2 linked regions of the Xenopus tropicalis genome follow. Each later gene encodes a partner of the first gene's protein in a complex. Links are inferred from orthologs where the notes say so. Each region holds a gene or a part of one and is shown on either strand. Other genes may lie near its edges. The genes, in order: matrix metalloproteinase-18 and timp-1.

The links.
Region 2: the proteins of matrix metalloproteinase-18 (region 1) and timp-1 are in contact, whole or in part, in a crystal structure (PDB 1UEA), measured with the Homo sapiens proteins. The link is inferred for Xenopus tropicalis from reciprocal best matches to the Homo sapiens genes MMP3 and TIMP1. Residues at the interface, in NP_002413.1 of Homo sapiens: Phe100, Thr102, Phe103, Phe171, Tyr172, Gly178, Asn179, Val180, Leu181, Ala182, His183, Ala184, Tyr185, Ala186, Thr207, Thr208, Gly209, Thr210, Val215, His218, Glu219, His222, Phe227, His228, Tyr237, Pro238, Leu239, Tyr240, His241, Ser242; in NP_003245.1 of Homo sapiens: Cys24, Thr25, Cys26, Val27, Pro28, Pro29, Val52, Thr56, Leu57, Tyr58, Pro87, Ala88, Met89, Glu90, Ser91, Val92, Cys93, Thr121, Cys122, Leu156, Ser157, Pro159, Gln173, Leu174, Gly177, Glu179.

What each region holds. Positions count from the first base shown.
Region 1 is NC_030678.2:161,716,939-161,732,285, forward strand, and holds matrix metalloproteinase-18, read left to right. Parts: upstream 1-3,503; 5' UTR 3,504-3,583; coding exon 3,584-3,685; intron 3,686-4,621; coding exon 4,622-4,866; intron 4,867-5,199; coding exon 5,200-5,348; intron 5,349-5,446; coding exon 5,447-5,572; intron 5,573-5,699; coding exon 5,700-5,861; intron 5,862-6,249; coding exon 6,250-6,367; intron 6,368-6,455; coding exon 6,456-6,589; intron 6,590-7,173; coding exon 7,174-7,333; intron 7,334-8,104; coding exon 8,105-8,208; intron 8,209-9,007; coding exon 9,008-9,108; 3' UTR 9,109-9,299; downstream 9,300-15,347. UniProt on the Homo sapiens protein: Metalloproteinase with a rather broad substrate specificity that can degrade fibronectin, laminin, gelatins of type I, III, IV, and V; collagens III, IV, X, and IX, and cartilage proteoglycans.
Region 2 is NC_030684.2:1,437,053-1,451,936, reverse strand, and holds timp-1 (uncharacterized protein LOC100135142 precursor), read left to right. Parts: upstream 1-3,586; 5' UTR 3,587-3,615; intron 3,616-4,826; 5' UTR 4,827-4,835; coding exon 4,836-4,944; intron 4,945-5,950; coding exon 5,951-6,033; intron 6,034-6,118; coding exon 6,119-6,236; intron 6,237-7,059; coding exon 7,060-7,181; intron 7,182-8,571; coding exon 8,572-8,790; 3' UTR 8,791-8,919; downstream 8,920-14,884. Other genes in the region: syn1 (synapsin-1), read right to left, coding at 9,191-9,280. UniProt on the Homo sapiens protein: Metalloproteinase inhibitor that functions by forming one to one complexes with target metalloproteinases, such as collagenases, and irreversibly inactivates them by binding to their catalytic zinc cofactor.

The sequences.
Region 1 (15,347 bases):
TAAAATCTACAGTTAGTATTGATGTTGGTATATATGGTTTATGTATGTGAGTGTATAGATTGGTAGGTGTGGGTCTGTATGTAAGTGGATAGATAGGTCAGTATGGGTCTGTATGTGAGTGTATAGATAGGTCAGTGTGGGTCTGTATGTGAGTGTATAGATAGGTCAGTGTGGGTCTGTATGTGAGTGGATAGATAGGTCAGTATGGGTCTGTATGCGAGTGGATAGATAGGTCAGTATGGGTCTGTATGCGAGTGGATAGATAGGTCAGTATGGGTCTGTATGTGAGTGGATAGATAGGTCAGTGTGGGTCTGTATGTGAGTGTATAGATAGGTCAGTATGGGTCTGTATGTGAGTGGATAGATAGGTCAGTATGGGTCTGTATGCGAGTGGATAGATAGGTCAGTATGGGTCTGTATGTGAGTGTATAGATAGGTCAGTGTGGGTCTGTATGTGAGTCTATAGATAGGTCAGTGTGGGTCTGTATGTGAGTGGATAGATAGGTCAGTGTGGGTCTGTATGTGAGTGGATAGATAGGTCAGTGTGGGTCTGTATGTGAGTGGATAGATAGGTCAGTATGGGTCTGTATGTGAGTGGATAGAAAGGTCAGTGTGGGTCTGTATGTGAGTGGATAGATAGGTCAGTGTGGGTCTGTATGTGAGTGGATAGATAGGTCAGTATGGGTCTGTATGTGAGTGGATAGATAGGTCAGTGTGGGTCTGTATGTGAGTGGATAGATAGGTCAGTATGGGTCTGTATGTGAGTGGATAAATAGGTCAGTATGGGTCTGTATGTGAGTGGATAGATAGGTCAGTATGGGTCTGTATGTGAGTGTATAGATAGGTCAGTGTGGGTCTGTATGTGAGTGGATAGATAGGTCAGTGTGGGTCTGTATGTGAGTGGATAGATAGGTCAGTATGGGTCTGTATGTGAGTGGATAGATAGGTCAGTATGGGTCTGTATGTGAGTGGATAGATAGGTCAGTGTGGGTCTGTATGTGAGTGGATAGGTCAGTGTGGGTCTGTATGTGAGTGGATAGATAGGTCAGTGTGGGTCTGTATGTGAGTGGATAGATAGGTCAGTGTGGGTCTGTATGTGAGTGGATAGATAGGTCAGTGTGGGTCTGTATGTGAGTGGATAGATAAGTCAGTGTGGGTCTGTATGTGAGTGGATAGATAGGTCAGTGTGGGTCTGTATGTGAGTGGATAGATAGGTCAGTGTGGGTCTGTATGTGAGTGGATAGATAGGTCAGTGTGGGTCTGTATGTGAGTGGATAGATAGGTCAGTATGGGTCTGTATGTGAGTGTATAGATAGGTCAGTGTGGGTCTGTATGTGAGTGGATAGATAGGTCAGTATGGGTCTGTATGTGAGTGGATAGGTCAGTGTGGGTCTGTATGTGAGTGGATAGATAGGTCAGTATGGGTCTGTATGTGAGTGGATAGGTCAGTGTGGGTCTGTATGTGAGTGGATAGATAGGTCAGTATGGGTCTGTATGTGAGTGGATAGGTCAGTGTGGGTCTGTATGTGAGTGGATAGATAGGTCAGTGTGGGTCTGTATGTGAGTGGATAGATAGGTCAGTGTGGGTCTGTATGTGAGTGGATAGATAGGTCAGTGTGGGTCTGTATGTGAGTGGATAGATAGGTCAGTGTGGGTCTGTATGTGAGTGGATAGATAGGTCAGTGTGGGTCTGTATGTGAGTGGATAGATAGGTCAGTGTGGGTCTGTATGTGAGTGGATAGATAGGTAGGTGTGGGTTGTGGGTGCTGGGTTTACTTGGATGGGTTAAACTTGATGGGCTCTGGTCTTTTTTCAACCCTATGTAACTATGTACCGTATATACTCGAGTAAAAGCCGATCCGAATATAAGTCGAGGTACCTAATTTTACCTAAGAAAACTGGAAAAACTTATTGACTCGAGTATAAGCCTAGGGTGGGAAATGCAGCAGCTACTGCTAAGTTTTAATAATCAAAATAAATACCAATAAAATTACATTAATTGAGGCATCAGTGGGGTATATGTTTTTCAATATTTATTTCAAAGAAAAACAGTAAACTAGCTCTGTAAGCGGAGAAGAGGGTCAACAAAAACAATATGAGTACTACCCCACGCTTATTGCACATTGGCAAACTGGCAGCAGACCCGGTCCCGGAGGAGATGTAAGGGGGAATAAGTATTGCTAGTGGGAGCCTAGGCCAGGGCACTGGAGGGTCTGGTTGCGGGTGGCCTAATTTGCACACAAGGGACAGAGGGTGCTAGTCTGGAGGGACCCATCGCACATTTTGGGTGCTGAAAAACTAGGCTTATACTCGAATATATACAGTAACTATTCTTTAGAAAGCAGGATCATAATAGTGAGTAGGGTACTCTTTATCTTCTAAATCAGCCAATATTTGTATGTAATCTGTATGTTTGATATATACATCTTTCTGTAGTACAGTGCTGGGAAATATAGTGGCACTATAGAAATATGTGCTTATAGTCACGCAATAGACTGGGTGCAGTTCTGTTTAGACAACTGATACAAACTGCAGAACTGATAACAAATAAACTGCAATAAAAAATACCAGGGCTTATACTATGATCTTGATATTTGGTGTTACTGTACTATGACTAAATAATGTTTTCCTTCTGATACATCGGTTTCTATAAGGGTTGTTTTATATTAAACACTTAGGGGCTGATTTACTAATCCACAAATCCGAATCCCGAATGGGAAAAAATCGGATTGGAAACGAACATTTTGCGACTTTTTCATATTTTTTGCGTTTTTTTCGTCGCCGTCGCGACTTTTTCGTAGCCGTTAAGACGAATTGTCGTGACTTTTTCGTATTGAGCGCTAGTAAACGGCGGGCAAACCTTTCCAATTTTTTCGCGACGGCTACGAAAAAGTCGCGACAATTCGCGCAAGTCGTAACAGCTACGAAAAAGTCGCTACAATTTACGAAAAAGTCATGACAAAAAAATTGCAAAATACTGATCATTATGAAAAAAACGCATTCGGACGCTTTCAATCCGTTCGTGGATTAGTAAATCGGCCCCTCAGAGGAAATACCAGTGAAAATTTCAATAAGATCCATTAAAATAAATAAAATGAAAGTAATACCACTGGATCCAGTTATTTCTTGGAGTCTTTATAACATATCTGCTGCTGCAGCCTTGATGATTATAAATACAAATCCCATAATTGCAGAAAGGCTGAGCTGTATATGAGCTGAGGATGATTGACAGGAGAATATGGATATCTCCATAGGCTATCTCTATAGGTTTAATAGACATAACATAAGTTGTCCCCCTTTCTACTCAAAACATGCTTTATTAATCATGCAGGGATGTTGCACAATGGTGGGGTTTACTCTGTGTATTCGTGTCACAACTTGCTGGCAGTTTAAAAAAAAAAAACATGCTTTTACATGGAATTAACGGAAGCTGTAAAGGATGAATCATGTTGCTCAGGCTGGCCAAGGCACCCAGGTATCATATAAATAGGCATGTTCAACACATGGAAAGTCAGAGCAAGGTTGGAAGCTTAACCTTTGAGGCAATAAGCTCCAAGAAACAGCTACTTAGCCACGAGCAGCAATGAGGTCCTGGATTGTGTTCCTGCTGTGTATAGCATGTTGCACGGCATTCCCTGCTAGGACCCAGACAGACATAGATAACAAAGATGGACAGATTGCTGAGGTGAGCAGATTGGTTTGCTTATATGTATTATTTATTCTATCTCTGTATCTATCTATCTATCAATCATCTATCTATTCTGTCTACCTGTCTGTCTGTCTATCTATTCTATCTCTGTGTCTGTCTATCCTCTATCTATCTATCTATCTATCATCTATCTATCTATCATCTATCTATCCATAGACAGTCAGTTAGTTATCCTAATAATTGGTCTTCATTTAAGTATTTCTCTATATCTACAATCTATCCATCTATCTATCTGTATATCAATCTATCTATATTTACAAGTTTTTTTCTATCTATTTATCCTCTATATATATTATATATCTATTCTGTCTGTGTTTATATATATATATATATATATATATATTTATATTTATCTATTCTATGTATTCTGTCTCTGTATCAATTTCTTTTTTCCCATTTAATTATCTACCATCTAACTATCCAACTATCTATCTATGTATTTATCTAATATGTTGTTGTCTGGCTTTACATACAATGTGCAGTACTTTGGATTTGATGATAAGTAAGTTAGGATAAATGTGGGCAGAAATACAGTCCTATTGGAATGTGCAGTGTGTAAATGTTTTGGTAGCCTCAGGGCAAGTCACTGTTCATGACGCAAGCAAAACTTTCAACTCCAGAACACAAGCATTCAGAGCATTAAGAGCAATTAGAATGAAAGGAACATTTGGGTTTAAACAACTAATTATTTGAAATCTTATTTGGATGCTCTAGGCATAGGGAACTGATTATTTTGAAGTATAGAAAGTTCCGCCTAGTATAGGTAATAAGAGCCATTCTGGCTGGCTGGACATTAACACAAGAAGTAATAATAACAAACAGTACAGGCTACTGGGATAATACTCCCAAAGAGAACCTTATGTTTCTTGCAGCTGGATGTTTAACTGAACCCGTTCCATTACATCTTTACAGGAGTTCTTGAAAAAATTCTTCAACCTTCAGACAAATGGGATCCGCCAGTCAAGAAAGAAGGGCAGCAATGCATTCTCCGAGAAAATCCGTGAGATGCAGGACTTCTATGGTTTGGAGGTCACTGGAACACTGGATCAGGAAACCATAGATGTGATGCAACAACCTCGGTGTGGGATTTCTGACGTCGGCAATTTTGCGACCTTCCCTGGAAACCCTGTTTGGAAGAAGAAAGATCTGACATACAGGTACACAATGTGCCCCTTAAACATCACAACTGTTACTGTGAAGCCAAATTGAATCCTACTTTCCTACGTTGCTGCCAACTACTTAGTGAATTTTACCTCTTCCCATGTTTTATATGGTTGAAAAATGTTATATTTGATGAAAAGGCTTTAATGCCTAAATCTCCATCCTTTCTCCCAAAAAGAAGCAGTTCTGTTCCACTTCGTGGCTGAAATTCTAGCTATTTTCATACCAAAGCATTGAAACCGTGTTTGATTTAACAAAGGCAGCTTTCATTTCATGACATACTATGGAATTATAATTACGTTATTCATTGAATCACACTTTCCCCACAGAATACTAAACTACACCCCAGATATGCCCAAAGATGAGGTGGACCGGGCCATTCAGAAGGCTTTCAAGGTCTGGAGTGATGTTACCCCACTTACCTTTACTAGAATCCTTGATGGTGTCGCTGATATTGATATCTCATTTGCAGCTCAAGGTACCTGACTTTTTTTTATAAATTATTATGTAATGTATTGTACAGTGTATGTAATTTCTCCTTACAAATATCAATTTCTTAATATTCTTTCTCTACAGTTCATAATGATTTTTATCCTTTTGATGGCCCATATGGTACCCTGGCCCATGCATTCGCTCCTGGAAACAACATTGGAGGGGATGCACATTTTGACGAAGATGAGAACTGGACTAGTGGATCAGTTGGTAGGTTCTTATACACTCCCTAAAACTGGTGTTGGTAATAATCAATAGATCGTTAGAAAGATGATAGATAGATAGATGAAAATAAACCAGTCAATATGCTTAATGTTCACTTTCACTTTTTCTGAAGGTTTCAACTTGTTCCTTGTGGCTGCTCACGAGTTTGGCCATTCCCTTGGGCTCTACCATTCTAATGACCCTAATGCCCTTATGTACCCAACCTACCATTACGTCGATACCAATACATACCAGCTGCCTCAGGATGACATCAATGGAATCCAGTCACTGTATGGTAAGTAACAATTACTTGTGAATCCTGACTGTTTAATATTTCAGAGCGAGGTAAAACAAGTAATGGTTAAACCCTTTACTCACCCATCTTTTTGGAATGAGGTTGTAAACCAAAGCTTTGGAATAACGATTAGCACTGATGATTAAAATGCAGCTAAGCAGCAATCATAGCAGCAATCGTAGGTCCTATCAGTGACGACGCAGTAGAAGTAGAGAATTGAGGAAGAAGATATTTTTTCTATAACTTCTTCAGAAAAATCTTAGAACTTACATTTTCTATAGAAACATGCTGCATTGTATATGCCATATATGCTTTAGAAAAACAACCTCAATACCGGAGATGTTTACACAGTATCTAAATAAATCCCATGACTTCTTTTGATTGACAGGAGCAAGTGAAAAGCCCGCTAAACCATCAACACCAATCAACCCAACAACATGCCCCCCAAACATAACATTTGATGCTATAACAACACTGCGTGGAGAAATCTTGTTCTTTAAACACAGGTAAAATTGCATTTTGTTTCTTGGATGGTAAATGTTATGTTTGATTTCCAGAAAAATTCCAGAAATACAATTTATTTTTGTTATTTAGATCCTTCTGGCGCAAGATCCCCAATAAATCAGAGATTGAGCAGCATGAGATCAGAACTTTCTGGAAAACCCTTCCCACCGGAATTCAGGCAGCCTATGAAAATCAGGAAAAGGATCAAGTTTTTCTCTTTAAAGGTACATCATTTTATACTTTTTTTCACTGATATTCTATCCAGACCTTGCATTCTTCATCTACTTCATTATAGGGCAGCTACTGAAATAACTAGGGAAAGCTCAGTCACCAATAACAATGAGGTTGCTTGTTAACTGCACATTATTGTTTGATTTTATGGGTTACTAGACCAAATTGTACCTTCCAATAAGACCGTATGGTCTTAATAAGGTCTCGTACCTCAGGGACCAAACTGGCTTTTCCTAGCCTTGTTATACTGCAGACCTGTCCCATCTGTCCTACCAGACCCTGTTTCTTGTCTCCCTTGCTTGGCTATACATTGGCCATACATGGCCTGCCTTACCAATATCCAATAGCTGAGAATCAGTCAGATATCTATCAGACATTGGGCGAGAACTCCAGTTTGATATGATTCTCATCTGTCTGGTCACTGTAGACCTTCTGTATGATCCAAAGCTCACCAAGCTAGTGAATCTTGTATGTATGGTGTATGTATGACCATTTTTAGCCTTCAGTTGTTAATACAATTATGCTGGACGTTTAAGGGTATGTTAATAATTAAAAACATCTCCTTCTATTTACCTAGGAACCAAATACTGGGCTCTTAAAGGCTTCGACATTGAGGAGGGATTCCCTAAGAGCATCTACCAACTTGGGTTTCCCCAGACTGTAAAGAAAATCGATGCAGCTGTTCATGTTGAAGAAACAAGGAAAACCTACTTCTTTGTGAATAATCAGTATTGGAGGTAAAAGCACTAACATTTATTAAAATATAAAACTCTAAAAAAAAATGACTTAGGGAGATCTCCCATATTAAGACATAGACATGCATTTATTTAAATGTAAGTCAGTAACTGCTGTAAAACTTTCTGAAGGAAGTTATACACAGGACATCTAGCACTAAATTATTTGCTCTGCTGAAGGTTTGTTTTGAGCTGAAGGGGGAGGAAGCTATTAGTAATGAGCAGGTTGACCCAAAACCCATGGAACCCATGAGCTTACTCACTCGTTGAGTTGGGTTCACACAAAGATGGTGAGACCCACGTGCAGGTTTGGGCAGGGTGGCAGGTGAAACCTCAAGCAAGGCTCCTCTCTTTTGGTGATGCAATAGTGCCTACCCCTTCCCTGTTGTGGCTGACCTTGCCAATAAACATTGGTTGGAAAGTAGCAAGTTAGGGCTGGGCTTGAGTTGAAAATTATTGGCCATCTCATCACTGAAATCTATGGTACCCTTCACCCCTAGATCTGCTGATGCCTCAGCCATGAGCTAAGAAGGGACATCATCAGTCTGTCCACATACAAAGTTGCCTGTCCAAACTAAACTTTGAAGTGGCCAAGCCTATATGAAGGTTGGACAGTAAGGTCAAACTGACCAAACTGCGTGACCAGTCCTGTTTATTCATGGCTTTGCAATAGGCATCAATTCATAAGAGACCAATCCTGGGCATTTATGGCTGCCTTGCAATAGATTCCATAAAGAGACAAAGCCTTTGTAACCAATAATTATTCCCCTATAGCTATGATGAAAGAAGATCACAAATGGATAAAGACTCTCCTCAGAGCATCATTAATGGATTCCCAGGTGTCGGAAACAAGGTGCAAGCAGTTTTCCAATCAAATGGTGAGTAGACCCATTCACTTTCATTGTTACATAACATATAACTACATCAGCCAATAAACCATAGATGTTTTGTGTCTTGGTAAAGACCATAAAACTGAATTTTCTTAGCAGGAATATTTAATATGTTTATACGTTTATTGTTTAATTCATATATGATTAAAAGAGAACTTAAGCTCAATTAAGAATAAGGCTGGAAATTCTACACCCTATGTTTTGGGCTCCCTTAACAGCCCATCCCAATGCAAGGCTGATTGGTCATTAATTGAGATTCACATTATAGAGCATTACAGAAACTAGTGCATGAATGAAACTGATGAATAACCAGCCCAGTAGCATCCGCTACACATGTAACTTTCTGTTAATGTTTTGATGATCCCTAAACTGAGCTTCTCAACAGCAGTACAGAGCACACTGAGCATGTGCAGAGCCAATGACACTCAAAAAATGGCCTAATAGGATTAGGAGGTGGGAAGCTGTTGTGGACAGCTTTAAGCATGGAGCATTACAGTTTAAGCTAGCTATAAAGTTCAGTATATGAACATATCTAGCCATACCCTCTCTTAGGCTTTAGTTCTCTTATTATTCTAAGATTTGGAGCCTGAATAGGTTCTAGTGTTGATATTGTTAGCATATAATAAACATCTGGAGCTATCAGAAGAATTGCACTACATATATATATATATATATATATAAATTATTAGAAACAGAGTTTATTGATCCATCTGGTTTAGTTATAAATCAATGCAGTACATAAGCTCTAGTTATCCCTGAATTTATTTTTCCTAATGTTATATTTCAGGAAATCTCTATTTCTTCAATGGCAATCGGCAGTATGAATTCAGCATAGCCAATAAGAGGGTCTTGCGCCTGCTTAAATACACCAGTTGGTTGAACTGCTAATCCAGAGGCCCCAGCAGCAACACGAGCACCCAACTGAACAAGAAGCACCTTATTTTCTTTTCACATTTAACTTAAATTTTTAATTTATATAAACATTTTTGTGGTTGTTGTGTTATTATATTATACTGTCTACATTTTTGGTATGTATGTTTGATATTAAGTATATTAAATTTATTCATTTTTCAAATAGATTTTTTACTTCTTTTGTGAACATGCATTTGGCTTAAAGAGAAAATTTTGTGCCAGACATTAATATCTATAGACAGCAGTGGGGTAACTATAGAGGAAGCAGACCCCACGGTTGCTGGAGGGGGCCCGGGGGACAGGAGGGCCTACCTGCCAGTAAGGAGGGGGCAGGATGGAGACATAAGCAGGGGTGGGGAGGTGAGAGATTGGGGTATGGATCACTGGATTGTAAGCTCTAAGGGGCAGGGACCTCCTTCCTACTGTGTCTCATACCACATGGCACTTATTCCCTGTGTATTTATATATATATTATATATATATATATATATATATATATATATATATATATATATATATATATATATATATATATTGTATTTATTTATTATATCACTTGTCCTCCCTCTGTGTAATTTTGTAAGACTGTACAGCACTGCGTACCCTTGTGGCACTTTATGAAAAAGTTATACATACATACATACATACATACATACTGTGTTTGCCGGGGGGCCCAATGCATGCTAGTTACACCGCTGATAGTGTTACTTTTAGTTATAAATAGTCACACTGAGGAGTTCTGTGACCATATAAAAATAGGAGGCCACAACTCCACCTTCCTACATTGTAATTAGTGTTGACTTATTCTACTATTATTGTATTTCTCATTAGGCACCCGAATGCCCATAGAGAATCCCACGAGGCACCATCTTCCTTTACTTCAGTGCAGCAATAACATAAGAAAAGGCATCGGCCTCTATTGTGTCACTAAGGAATGATGTCTTCCTGCATTGTAGAATGTAGACATATGGGATATGGATAAATATTAATAATAATGATAAACAATACACATCTTATATATAATAGTGAGTTCTTCACTTACACAAGGGAAGCAAGTATAGTCACTCAAAAATCGAGAACCCCAGTTTGTGGTCTATAAGCCTTGGCGTTTGCAGAAAAAGATTTACTGAGCTCTTCAATCATGAGAGAGCCGCATGTTTAGGGTAAAGATGGAGATGAATCAGCCTTTGGTGCTGCCATTGTAACACCCAAAATGGTGCGGTGCCACCTATATGTGCCTGCTATGGCATGAACAGGGCAGAAGTGATGTTCTAAATGCCAAAGTTCCTGTATTTCCTTGTATCTCTCTTTCATTAATACCATGTGCAGAAAACCTGCTATGATATTCCATGAGGTGACAAAAGGATGAAGGTTTAACTAGGACATTTTTAAAAATGTTATCTGTGAATGCCCATACCTGGTACATTCGTATATGAGGATGTAAAGTGGAGCCACACCTCCTTGCCACTCTCTGCCATTACAGTTATTCAGCCATTACCATCATTCAGTCTGTCAACCCAAATACACAGAACAATAGAATTGTAACCATACCATGTACGGCCAATCATATTCATTTTGCCTGTGGGATTATTAACTGGATACAATACAAGATAGGCCAGTGTATGGCCACCATAAAGTAGCCACTTGCCATTATAAAGACAGAACCACAGTAATCTGTATTTGGCACACACAGCCACATCTCATTTGACTGAATCCGAAAAAACAAGTTTTACCCGTACATCTTTCAGCTATAAAAAGTCTCTTTGTTCCTAACAATTCATTAAATATAGGACAACATTTAGGTAGGTTGGAGCAATTTTAGATTTTAATCCTAACTAGAAGTTAAAACAAACACAGATCATGTTAGTCGTGACCCTTGAGAATATATAGGCCAAAAATGTGTCATTTTTAGATAAAGGGCCATTTCCAGTAAAACTGTGCTTAGTACGGCACCTTCTTGCGCAGGTTGGGAGAAAACACAAGCAGATTCATGCAAGTCCTTTGGATGGAATTTGACAGCTTATGCCCCCAAAGATTTCATATCCTGTCCAATGAACATCAGATCACACCCACTGGCTTCTTCTAACGGCATTATAAACACAATAGATTTAATGTGGGAGTAGCTTACAGGGGGCTTTATTTGGCAGTAAATCTTGTTTTTATTCAACCAAAACTTGCCCCCAAGTCAGGAATTCAAAAATAACTCCCGGGTTTGGGGGCACTGAGAGCAACACCCAAGGGGTTGGGGAGCAACATGTTACCCCTGAGCCACTGGTTGGGGATCACTGCCCAAAATGAAGGTGTAGTGTCCCTTTAATCCATAAACATCAATGTATTTAAGCAGAAACTGAATATGAAAAACCTGCCTAATTTGGACATGTCGATAAATAGTTCTGTCTGCTGGAAAATGTCTTTTGGTAAAGGATATGGGGGTGACAACAACAGTTGTGGTGTGGTGGGGTGAAGCACTAGTGATGAGCACATTTTTTCACCAGGCTTGGATTCTCAGCGAATTTCCGCATTTTGCCATTGGCAAATAGTTTCGCAGAACTTCAGAGAAAATCTGCCGCAAAACAATTTGTTGCGTATCAAAAAAAAAAAATCGCGGCAAGGTCAAATTAGGCATGGGGTCACAGCAAAAAAAATTGCATCCGACTAATGTGTTTCACAGATTTTTCGCCATATCGCGAATTTCCCTAGCGTTTCACGAATTTTTTCGGTGAACCGAAATGGGACAGATTCGCTCATCACTATTCTATAATAATACTAATACTGCAACATAAAAACAAAACACCAGATAGATATAGTTTTAAAGACAGATAGCTTGATGATAGATAATAAATAAATAGATAGATGATAGATAGATAGATGATAGATTGATAGACAGGCAGACAGATAGATGATAGATAGATAGATACATTGATAGAAAGACAGATATATAGATAAATAAAGATAGATAAATAGATGGTAGATAGATAGATAGATAGATAGATAGATAGATAGATAGATAGATAAATAGATGATAGAGAGATAGATAGATAGATTCATACATACATAGATACATAAATAGAAAGTAGAACCCAAGCTACACATTTCTCTCTGTCTATTTTCTGTCTTATTTCTCCTATTATGTTTGTCATTTCTTTCACTAAACCTTCCTGCCTGTTGCAGCTGCTCTTGAACAATTTTCAACACACTCCAGAGAAATCTGCCCGGTCAACAAAACCTGCTGGGGAACAGGCTGTGCTTTCAATCCCACTAACCCAGTAGCTGATGCAGGTGTAATACTGTTGAATAGAAAACACATAAATAAAATGATTATGACTACTCTCAACCACTTAATAAAAATGTCACATTGGCTGCCCTCGGGATAGGGGTAGAGTCTTGCAGTTTCTTGGATTGATTACTCCACCAGTGGGGACTCTTGTCCTAATCTGTCCCCAGAAGACAGCAATGTTAAACTCATATCAACCGAAGGTGTGTAAGGGCCCTGGCCCCAGATACCCTGCATGAGTTGCTACTTTCCATTGAAAATTTCCTTTGGCAGCTGTCTCCTACTAAACTGTCATGCAATATAATCTGACAATTTGCTTAAGTCTCATTACTTTTTCTCCATAATTTTTTACTGGATTTTTTTCTACAAATATTTACCTAACCTAATACTAAAGTCATTCCATTTTCCACTTTTTATTGAATTAAATACAAATGTAGCACTTGATTCCTTTAGAAAGATCTGAGAGTTAGCTTCAGTTGGTTACAAAAGAAAAACAATCCAACCATAAACACTGGCTGCCCCACACGTATCTTCATCTTTGCGCTTGTGTCGGGGACCCCAGGCCTTTAGGACCTTGAAGTTGGGACCTAGGAGGAACCTTGAAAGCGAAGAACAGGTCATGGTCTAATACCATGGTGTCCATGGGGTTTAAAGACTTAGAAAACCGTGTCTTAGATGCTCTTTTATTTGGAATTTGGCACCATGCTATAGTACAATGACTAATAGACTGTAAGCTCTATAGGGGAAGGACCTCATCCCAAATGTGTACTGAAACTCCTAACGCTAAAATATTTATTTACTAATTTATTATAAATGTGCCCCATTTGTGTTTATTCCTTATAACCTGCATTAAGGAATAAACTGCACTTAAGGGCAAATGCCCATACCTGATGCACTCTTACCTTCCAATTTGTGCCTGTATATTACCCAACCACTTAGATTGTAAGCTCTACAGGGCAGGGACCTCCTTCCTACTGTGTCTCATGCCACATGGCACTTACTCCCTGTGCATTTATATATATTTATTGTATTTATTATAACACTTGTCCTCCCTGTGTGTAATTTTGTATTTTGTAAGACTGTACAGCGCTGCGTACCCTTGTGGCACTTTATAAATAAAGTTATACATACATATATACATACATCTGTGGTGCTATAAAAAGACATTAATATAATATACAGGTATGGGATCCCTTATCCGGAAACCCGATATCCAGAAAGCTCTGAATTACGGAAAGCCTGTCTCCTATAGACCCCATTTTAATCAAATAATTCAGATTTTTAAAACTAATTTCCTTTTTCTCTGTGAAAATAAAACAGGGCCTTGTATTTGATGCCAACTAAGATATAATTAATCTGTACTGGATGTAAAATAATCCTATTGGGTTTAATTAATGTTTTATTGATTTCTTAGTAGATTTAAGGTATGAAGATCCAAATTACGGAAAGATCCCTTATCCGGAATACCCTTGGTCCCGAGCATTCTGGATAACAGGTCCTATACCTGTACTATTAGTAGCCTAGACTTTGAATTTTAGAAAGGTATCAGAAGCATTAAACACATAATTCTTTATGGGTGTTAACTCATTCTGTGATGGGATAAAGCAAATGAGTCAATATAATTAAATGAGTGGGCTCCGTTATCATCTCAAATAAACATGAGTAAGAAATGGGATGTTTAGAGACCGTAGCTTTATTAGCGAGAAGTCTGGATTGGGAAATAGCCTCAGTAATGCCTGTAACTTGCTATGCACAATGTCACCTTCTGGGACACGAAGAAGGAAGATTTGGGTTAAGATGTTACATTTTCCATCTACTCTTTAAACAAGTGGGATGTAGTCTGAGCCCCTGAGGAACCAAACCAATAGAGATCTTATGGGAAAACTGGGTTATTAATAGATAAAAGGAACCAAGCTCTGAAGCTCATTTCCTTTCTGTAGGAGGTGCAACTGTATGAGGCTAGTGTAATAGCTTATGAGTAAGAAACAACAAGAAATAGTTTTGCATTTGTCTTTAATCAGTTGCTACAAGCCATAGAGATGGTAATTCACCATCAATCAGGTCAAAAATGTTCTCCCAAAACAAACAAAACTTATACCCATAGTGAATCATCTAAAGATAAAGCCACCAAGGTACTTACCTGCCATGTAGAGGCTGTTACAGTCAGGGCATTATTATTCTGTTTAAAGGACAAGGAAAGTCAAAACCTATTAAGCACACTATTAAATAGTACTACTATTGCTGTGTAAAATCGCTCTATTCCTGGCTTGCCTAATGAAAGATTTACAGAGATACACATACTAGAACCTACATACTTGTTTCAGTGAACGGCGCCGCCATCTTGTCCAGCGTGTCTGTATGGGCTGAAAAGCACAAGCCAGCCCCCCCTCCGCTCCCCGCTCCTGCCAAAAAGCCCCCCAAGCTCCACAAATCCCCCCACTCCTGCCACAAACCCCCCCACTCCTGCCACAAACCCCCCGCTCCTCCCTGCTCTTGCCACAAACCCCCCCAAGCTCCACAAACCCCCCCGCTCCTGCCACAAACCCCCCCTCCTGCCACAAACCCCCCTGCTCTTGCCACAAACCCCCCCCTTCTGCCACAAACCCCCCCTCCTGCCACAAACCCCCCTGCTCTTGCCACAAACCCCCCAAGCTCCACAAACCCACCCAAGCTCCACAAACCCCCCCGCTCCTGCCACAAACCCCCACAGCACCTGCCCCCCGCTTCCCCCTCCTGCTTGTCACAGAGTTCGGCGATGCTGCGTCGCCATGGCAACCGGACGCTCCTGCCCTGTGCACATGCGCCGCCTGCAGTAACAAGTCGCCAAGTCTTCAAGAAGCGATGCATTATGGGAATCTTCTCTACCCAGCTCAGCGTTTTTTTTCTCTGTTTGGCTTCTGATCGGGTGAAATATGGGGAGACTTAAGGGCACTATTGAGAG
Region 2 (14,884 bases), on another chromosome or scaffold:
GAAACATGGGCATATAAATGGGAAACAGGGGCATATAAATGGGAAACATGGGCATATAAATGGGAAAAAGGGGCATATAAATGGGAAACAAGGGGATATTATTGGGAAACAGGGCATATAAATGGGAAACAAGGGGATATTATTGGGAAACAGGGGCATATAAATGGGAAACAGGGGCATATAAATGGGAAACAAGGGGATATTATTGGGAAACAGGGCATATAAATGGGAAACAAGGGCATATAAATGGGAAAAAGGGGCATATAAATGGGAAACAGGGGCATATAAATGGGAAACTAGGGGATATAAATGGGAAACAGGGGCATATAAATGGGAAAAAGGGGCATATAAATGGGAAACAAGGGGATATTATTGGGAAACAGGGCATATAAATGGGAAACAAGGGCATAAAAATGGGAAACTGGGGCATATAAATGGGAAACAGGGGCATATAAATGGGAAACTAGGGGATATAAATGGGAGAAGGGGGCATATAAATGGGAAACTAGGGGATATAAATGGGAAACAGGGGCATATAAATGGGAAAAGGGGGCATATAAATGGGAAACAAGGGGATATTATTGGGAAACAGGGCATATAAATGGGAAACAAGGGGATATTATTGGGAAACAGGGCATATAAATGGGAAACAGGGGCATATAAATGGGAAACAGGGGCATATAAATGGGAAAAAGGGGCATATAAATGGGAAACAAGGGGATATTATTGGGAACCAGGGCATATAAATGGGAAAAAGGGGCATTTAAATGGGAAATAGGAGCATATAAATGGGAAAAGGGGGCATATAAATGGGAAACAAGGGGATATTATTGGGAAACAGGGCATATAAATGGGAAACAAGGGGATATAAATGGGAAACAAGGGGATATAAATGGGAAAAAGGGGCATATAAATGGGAAACAAGGGCATATAAATGGGAAACAGGGGCATAAAAATGGGAAACAGGGGCATAAAAATGGGAAACAGGGGCATAAAAATGGGAAACAGGGGCATATAAATGGGAAACATGGGCATATAAATGGGAAACAGGGGCATATAAATGGGAAACAAGGGGATATTATTGGGAAACAGGGCATATAAATGGGAAACAAGGGGATATTATTGGGAAACAGGGGCATATAAATGGGAAAAAGGGGCATATAAATGGGAAAAAGGGGATATTATTGGGAAATGGGGCATATAAATGGGAAAAAGGGGCATATAAATGGGAAACAGGGGCATATAAATGGAAAAAAGGGGCATATAAATGGGAAACAAGGGGATATTATTGGGAAACAGGGCATATAAATGGAAACCAGGGGCATTTAAATGGGAAAAAGGGGCATATAAATGGGAAACAAGGCGATATTATTGGGAAACAGGGCATATAAATGGGAAACAAGGGCATATAAATGGGAAAAAGGGGCATATAAATGGGAAACAGGGGCATAAAAATGGGAAAAAGGGGCATATAAATGGGAAAAGGGGGCATATAAATGGGAAACAGGCATATAAATGGGAAACAAGGGGATATTATTGGGAAACAGGGCATATAAATGGGAAACAGGGGCATATAAATGGGAAAAGGGGGCATATAAATGGGAAACAGGGGCATATAAATGGGAAACAGGGGCATATAAATGGGAAACAAGGGGATATTATTGGGAAACAGGGCATATAAATTGGAAACAAGGGCATATAAATGGGAAACAGGGGCATATAAATGGGAAACACGGGGATATTATTGGGAAACAGGGCATATAAATGGGAAACAAGGGGATAATATTGCGAAACAGGGCATATAAATGGGAAACAAGGGGATATAAATGGGAAACAGGGGCATATAAATGGGAAACAAGGGGATATAAATGGGAAACAGGGGCATATAAATGGGAAACAAGGGGCATATAAATGGGAAACAAGGGGATATAAATGGGAAACAGGGGCATATAAATGGGAAACAAGGGGATATAATTGGGAAACAGGGGCATATAAATGGGAAACAAGGGGATATAATTGGGAAACAGGGGCATATAAATGGGGAAAAGGGGCATATAAATGGGAAACAAGGAAATATAATTGGGAAACAGGGGCATATAAATGGGGAAAAGGGGCATATAAATGGGAAACAAGGAAATATAATTGGGAAACAGGGGCATATAAATGGGGAAAAGGGGCATATAAATGGGAAACAAGGAAATATAATTGGGAAACAGGGGCATATAAATGGGGAAAGGGGGCATATAAATGGGAAACAAGGAAATATAATTGGGAAACAGGGGCATATCAATGGGGAAAAGGGGCATATAAATGGGAAACAAGGAAATATAATTGGGAAACAGGGGCATATGAATGGGAAACGGGAATATAATGGAAGAAGGGAATATAAATGAGAAGAAGGGAATATAGATGGGAAAATATAAATGGGAAACTGGGGAATATAAATGGGAAACAGGGGCATATAAATGGAAATCAGGGGCATATAAATGGGAAACAAGGAAATATAATTGGGAAACAGGGGCATATAAATTGGAAACGGGAATATAATGGAAGAAGGGAATATAAATGAGAAGAAGGGAATATAGATGGGAAACTGGGGAATATAAATGGGAAACAGGGGCATATAAATGGGAAACAAGGGCATATAAATGGGAAACAAGGGCATATAAATGGGAAACAGGGGCATATAAATGGGGAAAAGGGGCATATAAATGGGAAACAGGGGCATATAAATGGGAAACAAGGGCATATAAATGGGAAACAAGGGCATATAAATGGGAAACAGGGGCATATAAATGGGGAAAAGGGGCATATAAATGGGAAACAGGGGCATATAAATGGGAAACAAGGGCATATAAATGGGAAACAAGGGCATATAAATGGGAAACAGGGGCATATAAATGGGGAAAAGGGGCATATAAATGGGAAACAGGGGCATATAAATGGGAAACAAGGGCATATAAATAGGAAACGGGCATATAAATGGGAAACAAGGGCATATAAATGGGAAACAGGGGCATATAAATGGGAAACAGGGCATATAAATGGGAAACAGGGCATATAAATGGGAAACAAGGGCATATAAATGGGAAACAAGGGCATATAAATGGGAAACGGGCATATAAATGGGAAACAAGGGCATATAAATGGGAAACAGGGCATATAAATGGGAAACAGGGCATATAAATGGGAAACAGGGCATATAAATGGGAAACGGGAATATAATGGAAGAAGGGAATATAGATGGGAAACTGGGGAATATAAATGGAAAGGGGGGATATAAATGGAAAGGGGGGATATAAATGGAAAGGGGGGATATAAATGGCAAGATGGGAACATAAATAAATAGAGAATGACAGAAATGGGGAGATTGGGGATAAATGGCAGTCGAGTTGCGTCACGGTTAATGGTTTCCCCGATGGCAAATCTCATTATAATTCCCAGCCACTTCCCTTTCTTCATGTTTTGAAATCTCTGAGTAATAAAGACAGACCCTGGGCCCTGAGCCAATCACATCACGGCAGGGAGGGGCTGCGAGGAGCTTTAAATTCCAGAGCCGCACAGACAATGATGTACTTGTGAGAGACACAGACGGACTGACTGCCCTGCCATCAGGTACGCAGATGCTTTCAACTTGCGCCAAAAGCTAGCAATCTACCCTGCCTGCTCCCTTACTTGCACTAAGAGCTAGCAATCTACCCTGCCTGCTCCCTTACTTGCACTAAGAGCTAACAATCTACCCTGCCTGCTCCCTTACTTGCACTAAGAGCTAACAATCTACCCTGCCTGCTCCCTTACTTGCACTAAGAGCTAGCAATCTACCCTCCCTGCTCCCTTACTTGCACTAAGAGCTAACAATCTACCCTGCCTGCTCCCTTACTTGCACTAAGAGCTAACAATCTACCCTCCCTGCTCCCTTACTTGCACTAAGAGCTAGCAATCTACCCTCCCTGCTCCCTTACTTGCACTAAGAGCTAACAATCTACCCTCCCTGCTCCCTTACTTGCACTAAGAGCTAACAATCTACCCTCCCTGCTCCCTTACTTGCACTAAGAGCTAACAATCTACCCTCCCTGCTCCCTTACTTGCACTAAGAGCTAGCAATCTACCCTCCCTGCTCCCTTACTTGTACTAAGAGCTAGCAATCTACCCTCCCTGCTCCCTTACTTGCACTAAGAGCTAGCAATCTACCCTCCCTGCTCCCTTACTTGCACTAAGAGCTAACAATCTACCCTCCCTGCTCCCTTACTTGCACTAAGAGCTAACAATCTACCCTCCCTGCTCCCTTACTTGCACTAAGAGCTAACAATCTACCCTCCCTGCTCCCTTACTTGCACTAAGAGCTAACAATCTACCCTCCCTGCTCCCTTACTTGCACTAAGAGCTAACAATCTACCCTCCCTGCTCCCTTACTTGCACCAAGAGCTAACAATCTATCCCCTCCCTGCTCCCTTACTTGCACCAAGAGCTAACAATCTACCCTGCCTGCTCCCTTACTTGCACCAAGAGCTAACAATCTATCCCCTCCCTGCTCCCTTACATGCACCAAGAGCTAACAATCTATCCCCTCCCTGCTCCCTTACTTGCACCAAGAGCTAACAATCTATCCCCTCCCTGCTTCCTTAGAACACACCTGCTTGTACCCCTTAACAGCTAAAATAGCTCTCATTGCCCCCCTCTGCAGACAGCCTGACTCCCTAGCTGGGGGGGCGGGGAAGCCAAATACAGCGCCATCTCACCCCTCCCTCCCTACTCATTCTGCCCCTCTCCCCCTGCTGCTGCCTGTTTACCCCCCACACCTCTAACTCCTCTCTTTCCTCCTGCAGTTTGATATCATGTTGGGCCTTGTGGTTCTGCTGGTTCTGGGGTGCCTCAGCCAGGGGGTGTGGGGGTGCAGCTGTGGACAAAGGCACCCCCAGTCTGCATACTGCAACGCAGATTTTGGTGAGTGTTCTCATACAAATGTTTGTTTTGGGGGGGGGGGTATGTGGAGAAAGGGCTCACAGCACCCCCTACTTTCCGTATGGGCTCCCATTCTAACTAATGGTATAATAGGGGCAGTGGGGCAACTGATGGTTACTGAGTGATTTCCAGCTCATGGGGTGGGGGCAACTAAACCCTAAATTGCCGGAACCCAGGAGTCACATGACTGTGGCTTAAAAATGTCGTAATCAGCAATTTCCTGCCCCTGCGGGGGGTAAAAAGTCTGCAAGCAGGGCACAAGCTGATATCAATGCAAGGCTACGGGGGGAGGATTTGGGGGCCCTGAAAGTGCCCAGTGTGCCACAGCCCCAAACATATATTTCTGAACTGGGGCAGAACGTATGCACTGTTGCTATGGGACAGGACCAGAAGCAACTAGATGGAACTTTATATTCCAGTTATATGTGTTAATGTGACTGTTCGGTTATACTTGCCCTTTAAAAACAACATTATTCACAGGGGGGGGGGGAGAATGATAATAGGGGTATGGCAGCAAGTGCAGGGAGACCCCCAGGCTCAGGTAGTAGGTGGGCTACAAGGGGGGGAGGGGGTGACTGCTCAGTGTGTGGGTGCTGAGAGACAGACAGAATGTGACAGCTACGTGTGAGCCCCCGGGCTGGGCGAGAGTGCACTCACATCACTGTGCCGAGTTCATTCTCACCCCCACGTGCAAACTGGTTTGGGCACAGGATTCCCCCTGGTAGCCCCCCGGCCAGTAAGTCAGGCACACGTGGCACTAGTGCCTCTATTCTGCCCCAATACCCAGTAACTACCCCCGGGCGGCTCTCTCGCACCGTCTGTGCCAGTTTCACATTGGGCAACAACAGGAAGCCGGGCAGTTATTTATAGATTAGGGAAACGCACCAGGAATTCCCGTCTTATAATAAACGTCTCTGAGCTGGGCGGGGCTATGTACAAAGATGATTCTCCATTGGCTCGTCCCGCTCACCCCCCTGTCTCTGCGCAGTTATCCGGGCGAGATTCATCGGCAAAACCCAGCAGAAGGCGGAAGAACCGGGCAGAGTGACGTATGAGGTCAAAACTACTAAGGTAAGTGCCCCCCCCCCCCCCCCCCCCACTTCCCTGTTACTGCTGCCCCTGCACCCCCCCACTAACACTTTCCCCTTTTCTATAGATCTTCAAGGCCCCCGACGGAATGGACGACATCCAGTTCCTGAGCACCCCGGCAATGGAGAGTCTGTGCGGCTACGAGCACAAAATGTCCAACAAGAGCCAGGCCTTCCTCATCACAGGTGAGAGCTCTGCCCCGCTCTCTAACACCCAAGCACTATACTGTGAGGGCTGTGGCACAGGGAGGAAGGGAATGGGGCAGCAGAAGGGGATGGGGGGATAGGGGTTCCTCATCACAGGTGAGAGCTCTGCCCCGCTCTCTAACACCCAAGCACTATACTGTGAGGGCTGTGGCACAGGGAGGAAGGGAATGGGGCAGCAGAAGGGGATGGGGGGATAGGGGTTCCTCATCACAGGTAAGAGCTCTGCCCCGCTCTCTAACACCCAAGCACTATACTGTGAGGGCTGTGGCACAGGGAGGAAGGGAATGGGGCAGTAGAAGGGGACGGGGGGTAGGTGTTCCTCATCACAGGTGAGAGCTCTGCCCCGCTCTCTAACACCCAAGCACTATGCTGTAAGGGCTGTGGCACAGGGAGGAAGGGAATGGGGCAGCAGAAGGGGATGGGGGGGATAGGTGTTCCTCATCACAGGTAAGAGCTCTGCCCCGCTCTCTAACACCCAAGCACTATGCTGTAAGGGCTGTGGCACAGGGAGGAAGGGAATGGGGCAGCAGAAGGGGATGGGGGGGTAGGTGTTCCTCATCACAGGTAAGAGCTCTGCCCCGCTCTCTAACACCCAAGCACCATGCTGTAAGGGCTGTGGCACAGGGAGGAAGAGGATGGGGCAGAAGGGGGAACAGTTAGTGGGTGATTGGCAGCTGCAGTGAAGAGAATGCCCCATGTGCCCTGCTGGGGTTGGTATCAATCCCCTGCCCCCCTCAAGTATCAACCCCGCCTCTCTACCAACACGCCCCCTGATGCCAATCTCTTTATTGCCCCTGCCCAGGGCACGTGATGAACGGTAACCTGCAAATCGACCAGTGCAACTTCATCGTTCCTTGGGCCTCACTATCGGTCGCCCAGAGGAAGGGCTTCCAGGAGGTCTATCCCAAGTCCTGTTCCTGCAGTGTGAGTAGCCGTGGGGCAAGTTACCCCTCCCAATCCTGTCTTGCCCCCACCCGGACCCTCTCTTTATTCACTGACCAGCCCATATTATATTGTGCCCTCCAATAGGGGTGAGCCTCCCCCCATAACCCCCCTGTGTCTTGCCATGCAGTTTCCCATTCTGTTTGCTGACCTATATAGCTGCTCCCCCTAGTGCCCAGGACTGGTACTGCAGTAGCCATGAGATCCCTATTGCCCCCATTAGAGTGGGTCACTAGGGGAGGATTTCTATTGGCCGATAATAACTGGGCCCTTCTCTCCTCCCCCTACAGATTGGGCCCTGCTACAGTGGTACCTGCCCCCCCCTAGTGCCCAGGACTGGTACTGCAGTAGCTATGAGATCCCTATTGCCCCCATTAGAGTGGGTCGCTGGGGGAGGATTTCTATTGGCCGATAGTAATTGGGCACTTCTCTCCCCCCCCTACAGATTGTGCCCTGCTACAGTGGTACCTGCCCCCCCTAGTGCCCAGGACTGGTACTGCAGTAGCTATGAGATCCCTATTGCCCCCATTAGAGTGGGTCACTAGGGGAGGATTTCCATTGGCTGATAGTAACTGGGCATTTCTCTCCCCCCCCCTACAGATTGTGCCCTGCTACAGTGGTACCTGCCCCCCCTAGTGCCCAGGACTGGTACTGCAGTAGCTATGAGATCCCTATTGCCCCCATTAGAGTGGGTCACTAGGGGAGGATTTCCATTGGCTGATAGTAACTGGGCATTTCTCTCCCCCCCCCTACAGATTGTGCCCTGCTACAGTGGTACCTGCTCCCCCTAGTGCCCAGGACTGGTACTGCAGTAGCTATGAGATCCCTATTGCCCCCATTAGAGTGGGTCACTAGGGGAGGATTTCCATTGGCTGATAGTAACTGGGCACTTCTCTCCTCCCCCTACAGATTGTGCCCTGCTACAGCGGTACCTGCCCCCCCCTAGTGCCCAGGACTGGTACTGCAGTAGCCATGAGATCCCTATTGCCCCCATTAGAGTGGGTCACTAGGGGAGGATTTCCATTGGCTGATAGTAACTGGGCATTTCTTTCCCCCCCCTACAGATTGTGCCCTGCTACAGTGGTACCTGCTCCCCCTAGTGCCCAGGACTGGTACTGCAGTAGCCATGAGATCCCTATTGCCCCCATTAGAGTGGGTCACTAGGGGAGGATTTCCATTGGCTGATAGTAACTGGGCATTTCTTTCCCCCCCCTACAGATTGTGCCCTGCTACAGTGGTACCTGCTCCCCCTAGTGCCCAGGACTGGTACTGCAGTAGCTATGAGATCCCTATTGCCCCCATTAGAGTGGGTCGCTAGGGGAGGATTTCTATTGGCTGATAGTAACTGGGCATTTCTTTCCCCCCCCTACAGATTGTGCCCTGCTACAGTGGTACCTGCTCCCTGGAGTCCGACAACCAGTGCCTTTGGACCGACGTACTGGTGAACTGGATGGAGCCCCTGAATGGGTCCCAGTCCAAGTACATGGCGTGTGTGGACCAGGGCAGCGGTTTGTGCTCGTGGGAGTCCCAGAAACCCAGCGCCATCGCTGCCCGGAATAAGGCGGCAGCGTCGGGTTCCGCAGCAGAATAACCTGGGGGGGGGGGTGCTTCGTGGGGGATAATGGGAGGGGCCACTTTAAGGGGGAGGAGTTGGTTTGTACATTTGAGTGCACGTCCCCTTTGTACCGGGGGAAATAAATGTCTTTTTATGGTTTTTGTACAATGTCTCCAGCATCTGCATATCCTTACTCTATACACACGGGGGTCCCGAATACTGGGTACCCCCAAAGCCTCCCCCCATCTACCTGAGTGCTCCCCGTGCCCCATGTGTGCTGCCCAGCAGGGGATTTGAGGGCACATTCCATGGCATAGAGAGTATGGGGGCGGGGCTACCCAGGGGGGCGGGGCTACCCAGAGGGCTACTCAGGTCACAGCACAGGCAGCTAATTCCCAGGGAAATGACTCCCAGCCGCCGCCGCCCCGTGACTCACCATCTCCTTATGGTTGGGGTAATAAGTCTGTTCTATGAGAGGGAAGTCGTCCGGCCCCAACTTCCTGTGTAACCGCACCAACTGGGAGAACTGGAAAGAGAAGGAAACGGATCAGAACTCGGGATAACTGCCCCCTCCCCCATACAGAAATGGATCAGTACCCGGGATCCCCCCCCCCCCCTCCCCCATACAGAAACGGATCAGTACCCGGGATCCCCCCCCCCCCTCCCCCATACAGAAACGGATCAGTACCCGGGATCCCTCCCCCCCTCCCCCATACAGAAATGGATCAGTACCCGGGATCCCTCCCCCCCTCCCCCATACAGAAATGGATCAGTACCCGGGATCCCTCCCCCCCCCCCATACAGAAATGGATCAGTACCCAGGATCCCTCCCCCCTCCCCCATACAGAAATGGATCAGTACCCAGGATCCCTCCCCCCCTCCCCCATACAGAAACGGATCAGTACCCGGGATCCCTCCCCCCCTCCCCCATACAGAAATGGATCAGTACCCAGGATCCCTCCCCCCTCCCCCATACAGAAATGGATCAGTACCCAGGATCCCTCCCCCCCTCCCCCATACAGAAATGGATCAGTACCCAGGATCCCTCCCCCCTCCCCCATACAGAAATGGATCAGTACCCGGGATCCCTCCCCCCTCCCTCCCCCATACAGAAATGGATCAGTACCCAGGATCCCTCCCCCCCTCCCCCATACAGAAATGGATCAGTACCCAGGATCCCTCCCTCCCCCCCTCCCAATACAGAAATGGATCAGTACCAAAGGTTCTGGGCACTATTACACCCACGCTGGGCATTCTGGGCACTATTATACCCACGCTGGGTATTCTGGGCACAATTATACCCACGCTGGGCATTCTGGGCACTATTATACCCACGCTGGGTATTCTGGGCACAATTATACCCACGCTGGGAATTCTGGGCACTATTATAAAGACGCTGGGCATTCTGGGCACTATTATACCCACATTGGGAATTCTGGGCACTATTATACAGACGCTGGGTATTCTGGGCACTATTATACCCACGCTGGGCATTCTGGGCACTATTATACCCACGCTGGGCATTCTGGGCACTATTATACCCACGCTGGGCATTTTGGGCACTATTATACCCACGCTGGGCATTCTGGGCACTATCATACCCACGCTGGGCATTCTGGGCACTATTATACCCATGCCGGGCATTCTGGGCACTACCCACGCTGGGCATTCTGGGCACTATTATACCCACGCTGGGCATTCTGGGCACTATTATACCCATGCTGGGCATTCTGGGCACTATTATACCCACACTGGGCATTCTGGGCACTATTATACCCACGCTGGGCATTTTGGGCATTATTATACCCACGCTGGGTGTTCTGGGCACTATTATACCCACGCTGGGCATTCTGGGCACTATTATACCCACGCTGGGCATTCTGAGCACTATTATACCCACGCTGGGCATTCTGGGCACTATTATACCCACGCTGGGCTTTCTGGGCACTATTATACCCACGCTGGGCATTCTGGGCACTATTATACCCACGCTGGGCGTTCTGGGCACTATTATACCCATGCTGGGTGTTCTGGGCACTATTATACCCACGCTGGGCATTCTGGGCACTATTATACCCACGCTGGGCTTTCTGGGCACTATTATACCCACGCTGGGCATTCTGGGCACTATTATACCCACGCTGGGATTTCTGGGCACTATTATACCCACGCTGGGATTTCTGGGCACTATTATACCCACGCTGGGCTTTCTGGGCACTTTTACCCACGCTGGGCATTCTAGGCACTATTATACCCATGCTGGGCATTCTGGGCACTACCCACGCTGGGCATTCTGGGGACAACCTATGCTGGGCATTCTGGGCACTATTATACCCACGCTGGGCATTCTGGGCACTATTATACCCATGCTGGGTGTTCTGGGCACTATTATACCCATGCTGGGCATTCTGGGCACTATTATACCCATGCTGGGCATACTGGGCACTATTATACCAACGCTGGGCAATCTGGCCACTACCCATGCTGGGCATTCTGGGCACTATTATTATACCGACGCTGGGCATTCTGGGCACTACCCATGCTGGGCATTCTGGGCACTATTATTATACCCACGCTGGGATTTCTGGGCACTATTATACCCACGCTGGGCATTCTGGACAATATTATACCCACGCTGGGTGTTCTGGGCACTATTATACCCACGCTGGGAATTCTGGGCAATATTATATCCACGCTGGGTGTTCTGGGCACTATTATACCCACGCTGGGTGTTCTGGGTACTATTATACTCCCGCTGGGTGTTTTGGGCACTATTATACCAACGCTGGGTGTTCTGGGAACTATTATACCCACGCTGGGCATTCTGGGCACTATTATACCCACGCTAGGTGTTCTGGGCAATATTATACCCACGCTGGGTGTTCTGGGCACTATTATAACCACGCTGGGTGTTCTGGGCACAATTATAACCACGCTGGGTGTTCTGGGCACTATTATAACCACGCTGGGCATTCTGGGCACTATTATAACCACGCTGGGCATTCTGGGCACTATTATACCCACGCTGGGCATTCTGGGCACTATTATACCCATGCTGGGCATTCTGGGCACTATTATTATACCCACGCTGGGCATTCTGGGCACTATTATACCCATGCTGGGCATTCTGGGCAATATTGTACCCACGCTGGGTGTTCTGGGCACTATTATACCCACGCTGGGCATTCTGGGCACTATTATACCCACGCTGGGTGTCATGATATAGGCCTGTAAGGGTTAATCAAGCAGGCCAAGGTATCCCAAAATCTTCCAGAAATGTGCCAGAAAGAGATATATAACAGGCCTCTGGTCACTGGGTCTGGAACCAGCCATGTGTAAAGGCCTCACAACCTGGAATGCCCAACTCTAATCCCCGGCTGATAAGGGCCATGCCATGTGGGGGAGGGAATGCCCAACTCTAATCCTCGACTGATAAGAGCCATGCCATGTGGGGGAGTGAAAGCCCAACTCTAATCCCTGTCTGATAAGGGCCATGCCATGTGGGGGAGGGAATGCCCAACTCTAATCCCTGGCTGATAAGAGCCATGCTATGTGGGGGAGGGAATGCCCAACTCTAATCCCCGGCTGATAAGAGTCATGCCATGTGGGGGAGTGAATGCCCAACTCTAATCCCTGGCTGATAAGGGCCATGCTATATGGGGGAGTGAATGCCCAACTCTAATCCCTGGCTGATAAGAGCCATGCCATGTGGGGGAGGGAATGCCCAACTCTAATCCCTGTCTGATAAGAGCCATGCCATGTGGGGGAGTGAATGCCCAACTCTAATCCCCAGCTGATAAGGGCCATGCCATGTGGGGGAGTGAATGCCCAACTCTAATCCCCGGCTGATAAGAGCCATGCCATGTGGGGGAGGGAATGCCCAACTCTAATCCCTGGCTGATAAGAGCCATGCCATGTGGGGGAGTGAATGCCCAACTCTAATCCCTGGCTAATAAGGGCCATGCCATGTGGGGGAGTGAATGCCCAACTCTAATCCCTGGCTAATAAGGGCCATTCCATGTGGGGGAGTGAATGCCCAACTCTAATCCCCGGCTGATAAGAGCCATGCCATGTGGGGGAGGGAATGCCCAACTCTAATCCCTGTCTGATAAGAGCCATGCCATGTGGGGGAGTGAATGCCCAACTCTAATCCCCGGCTGATATAAGACATGCCATGTGGGGGAGGGAATGCCCAACTCTAATCCCTGGCTGATAAGAGCCATGCCATGTGGGGGACGGAATGCCCAACTCTAATCCCCGTCTGATAAGAGCCATGCAATGTGGGGGAGTGAAAGCCCAACTCTAATCCCTGTCTCATAAGAGCCATGCCATGTGGGGGAGTGAATGCCCAACTCTAATCCCCGGCTGATAAGAGCCATGCCATGTGGGGGAGTGAATGCCCAACTCTAATCCCTGGCTGATAAGGGCCATGCCATGTGGGGGAGTGAATGCCCAACTCTAATCCCTGGCTGATAAGAGCCATGCCATGTGGGGGAGGGAATGCCCAACTCTAATCCCTGTCTGATAAGAGCCATGTCATGTGGGGGAGTAAATGCCCAACTCTAATCCCTGGCTGATAAGGGCCATTCCATGTGGGGGAGTGAATGCCCAACTCTAATCCCTGGCTGATAAGAGCCATGCCATGTGGGGGAGGGAATGCCCAACTCTAATCCCTGGCTGATAAGGGCCATGCCATGTGGGGGAAGGAATGCCCAACTCTAATCCCTGGCTGATAAGGGCCATGCCATGTGGGGGAGGGAATGCCCAACTCTAATCCCTGTCTGATAAGAGCCATGCCATGTGGGGGAGTGAATGCCCAACTCTAATCCCCGGCTGATAAGGGCCATGCCATGTGGGGGAGTGAATGCCCATCTCTAATCCCCGGCTGATAAGAGCCATGCCATGTGGGGGAGGGAATGCCAAACTCTAATCCCTGGCTGATAAGAGCCATGCCATGTGGGGGAGTGAATGCCCAACTCTAATCCCTGGCTGATAAGGGCTATGGCATGTGGGGGAGTGAATGCCCAACTCTAATCCCCGGCTGATAAGAGCCATGCCATGTGGGGGAGGGAATGCCCAACTCTAATCCCTGGCTGATAAGGGCCATGCCATGTGGGGGAGTGAATGCCCAACTCTAATCCCCGGCTGATAAGAGCCATGCCATGTGGGGGAGGGAATGCCCAACTCTAATCCCTGGCTGATAAGAGCCATGCCATGTGGGGGAGTGAATGCCCAACTCTAATCCCTGGCTGATAAGGGCTATGGCATGTGGGGGAGTGAATGCCCAACTCTAATCCCCAGCTGATAAGAGCCATGCCATGTGGGGGAGGGAATGCCCAACTCTAATCCCTGGCTGATAAGAGCCATGCCATGTGGGGGAGTGAATGCCCAACTCTAATCCCTGGCTGATAAGAGCCATGCCATGTGGAGGAGTGAATGCCCAACTCTAATCCCTGGCAGATAAGGGCCATTCCATGTGGGGGAGTGAATGCCCAACTCTAATCCCTGGCTGATAAGAGCCATGCCATGTGGGTGAGGGAATGCCCAACTCTAATCCCCGTCTGATAAGGGCCATGCCATGTGGGTAGTGAATGCCCAACTCTAATCCCCGGCTGATAAGAGCCATGCCATGTGGGGGAGTGAATGCCCAACTCTAATCCCTGGCTGATAAGGGCCATGCCATGTGGGTAGTGAATGCCCAACTCTAATCCCCGGCTGATAAGAGCCATGCCATGTGGGGGAGGGAATGCCCAACTCTAATCCCCGGCTGATAAGAGCCATGCCATGTGGGGGAGTGAATGCCCAACTCTAATCCCTGGCTGATAAGAGCCATGCCATGTGGGGGAGTGAATGCCCAACTCTAATCCCTGGCTGATAAGGGCTATGGCATGTGGGGGAGTGAATGCCCAACTCTAATCCCCAGCTGATAAGAGCCATGCCATGTGGGGGAGTGAATGCCCAACTCTAATCCCTGGCTGATAAGGGCTATGGCATGTGGGGGAGTGAATGCCCAACTCTAATCCCTGGCTGATAAGGGCCATTCCATGTGGGGGAGTGAATGCCCAACTCTAATCCCTGGCTGATAAGAGCCATGCCATGTGGGGGAGGGAATGCCCAACTCTAATCCCTG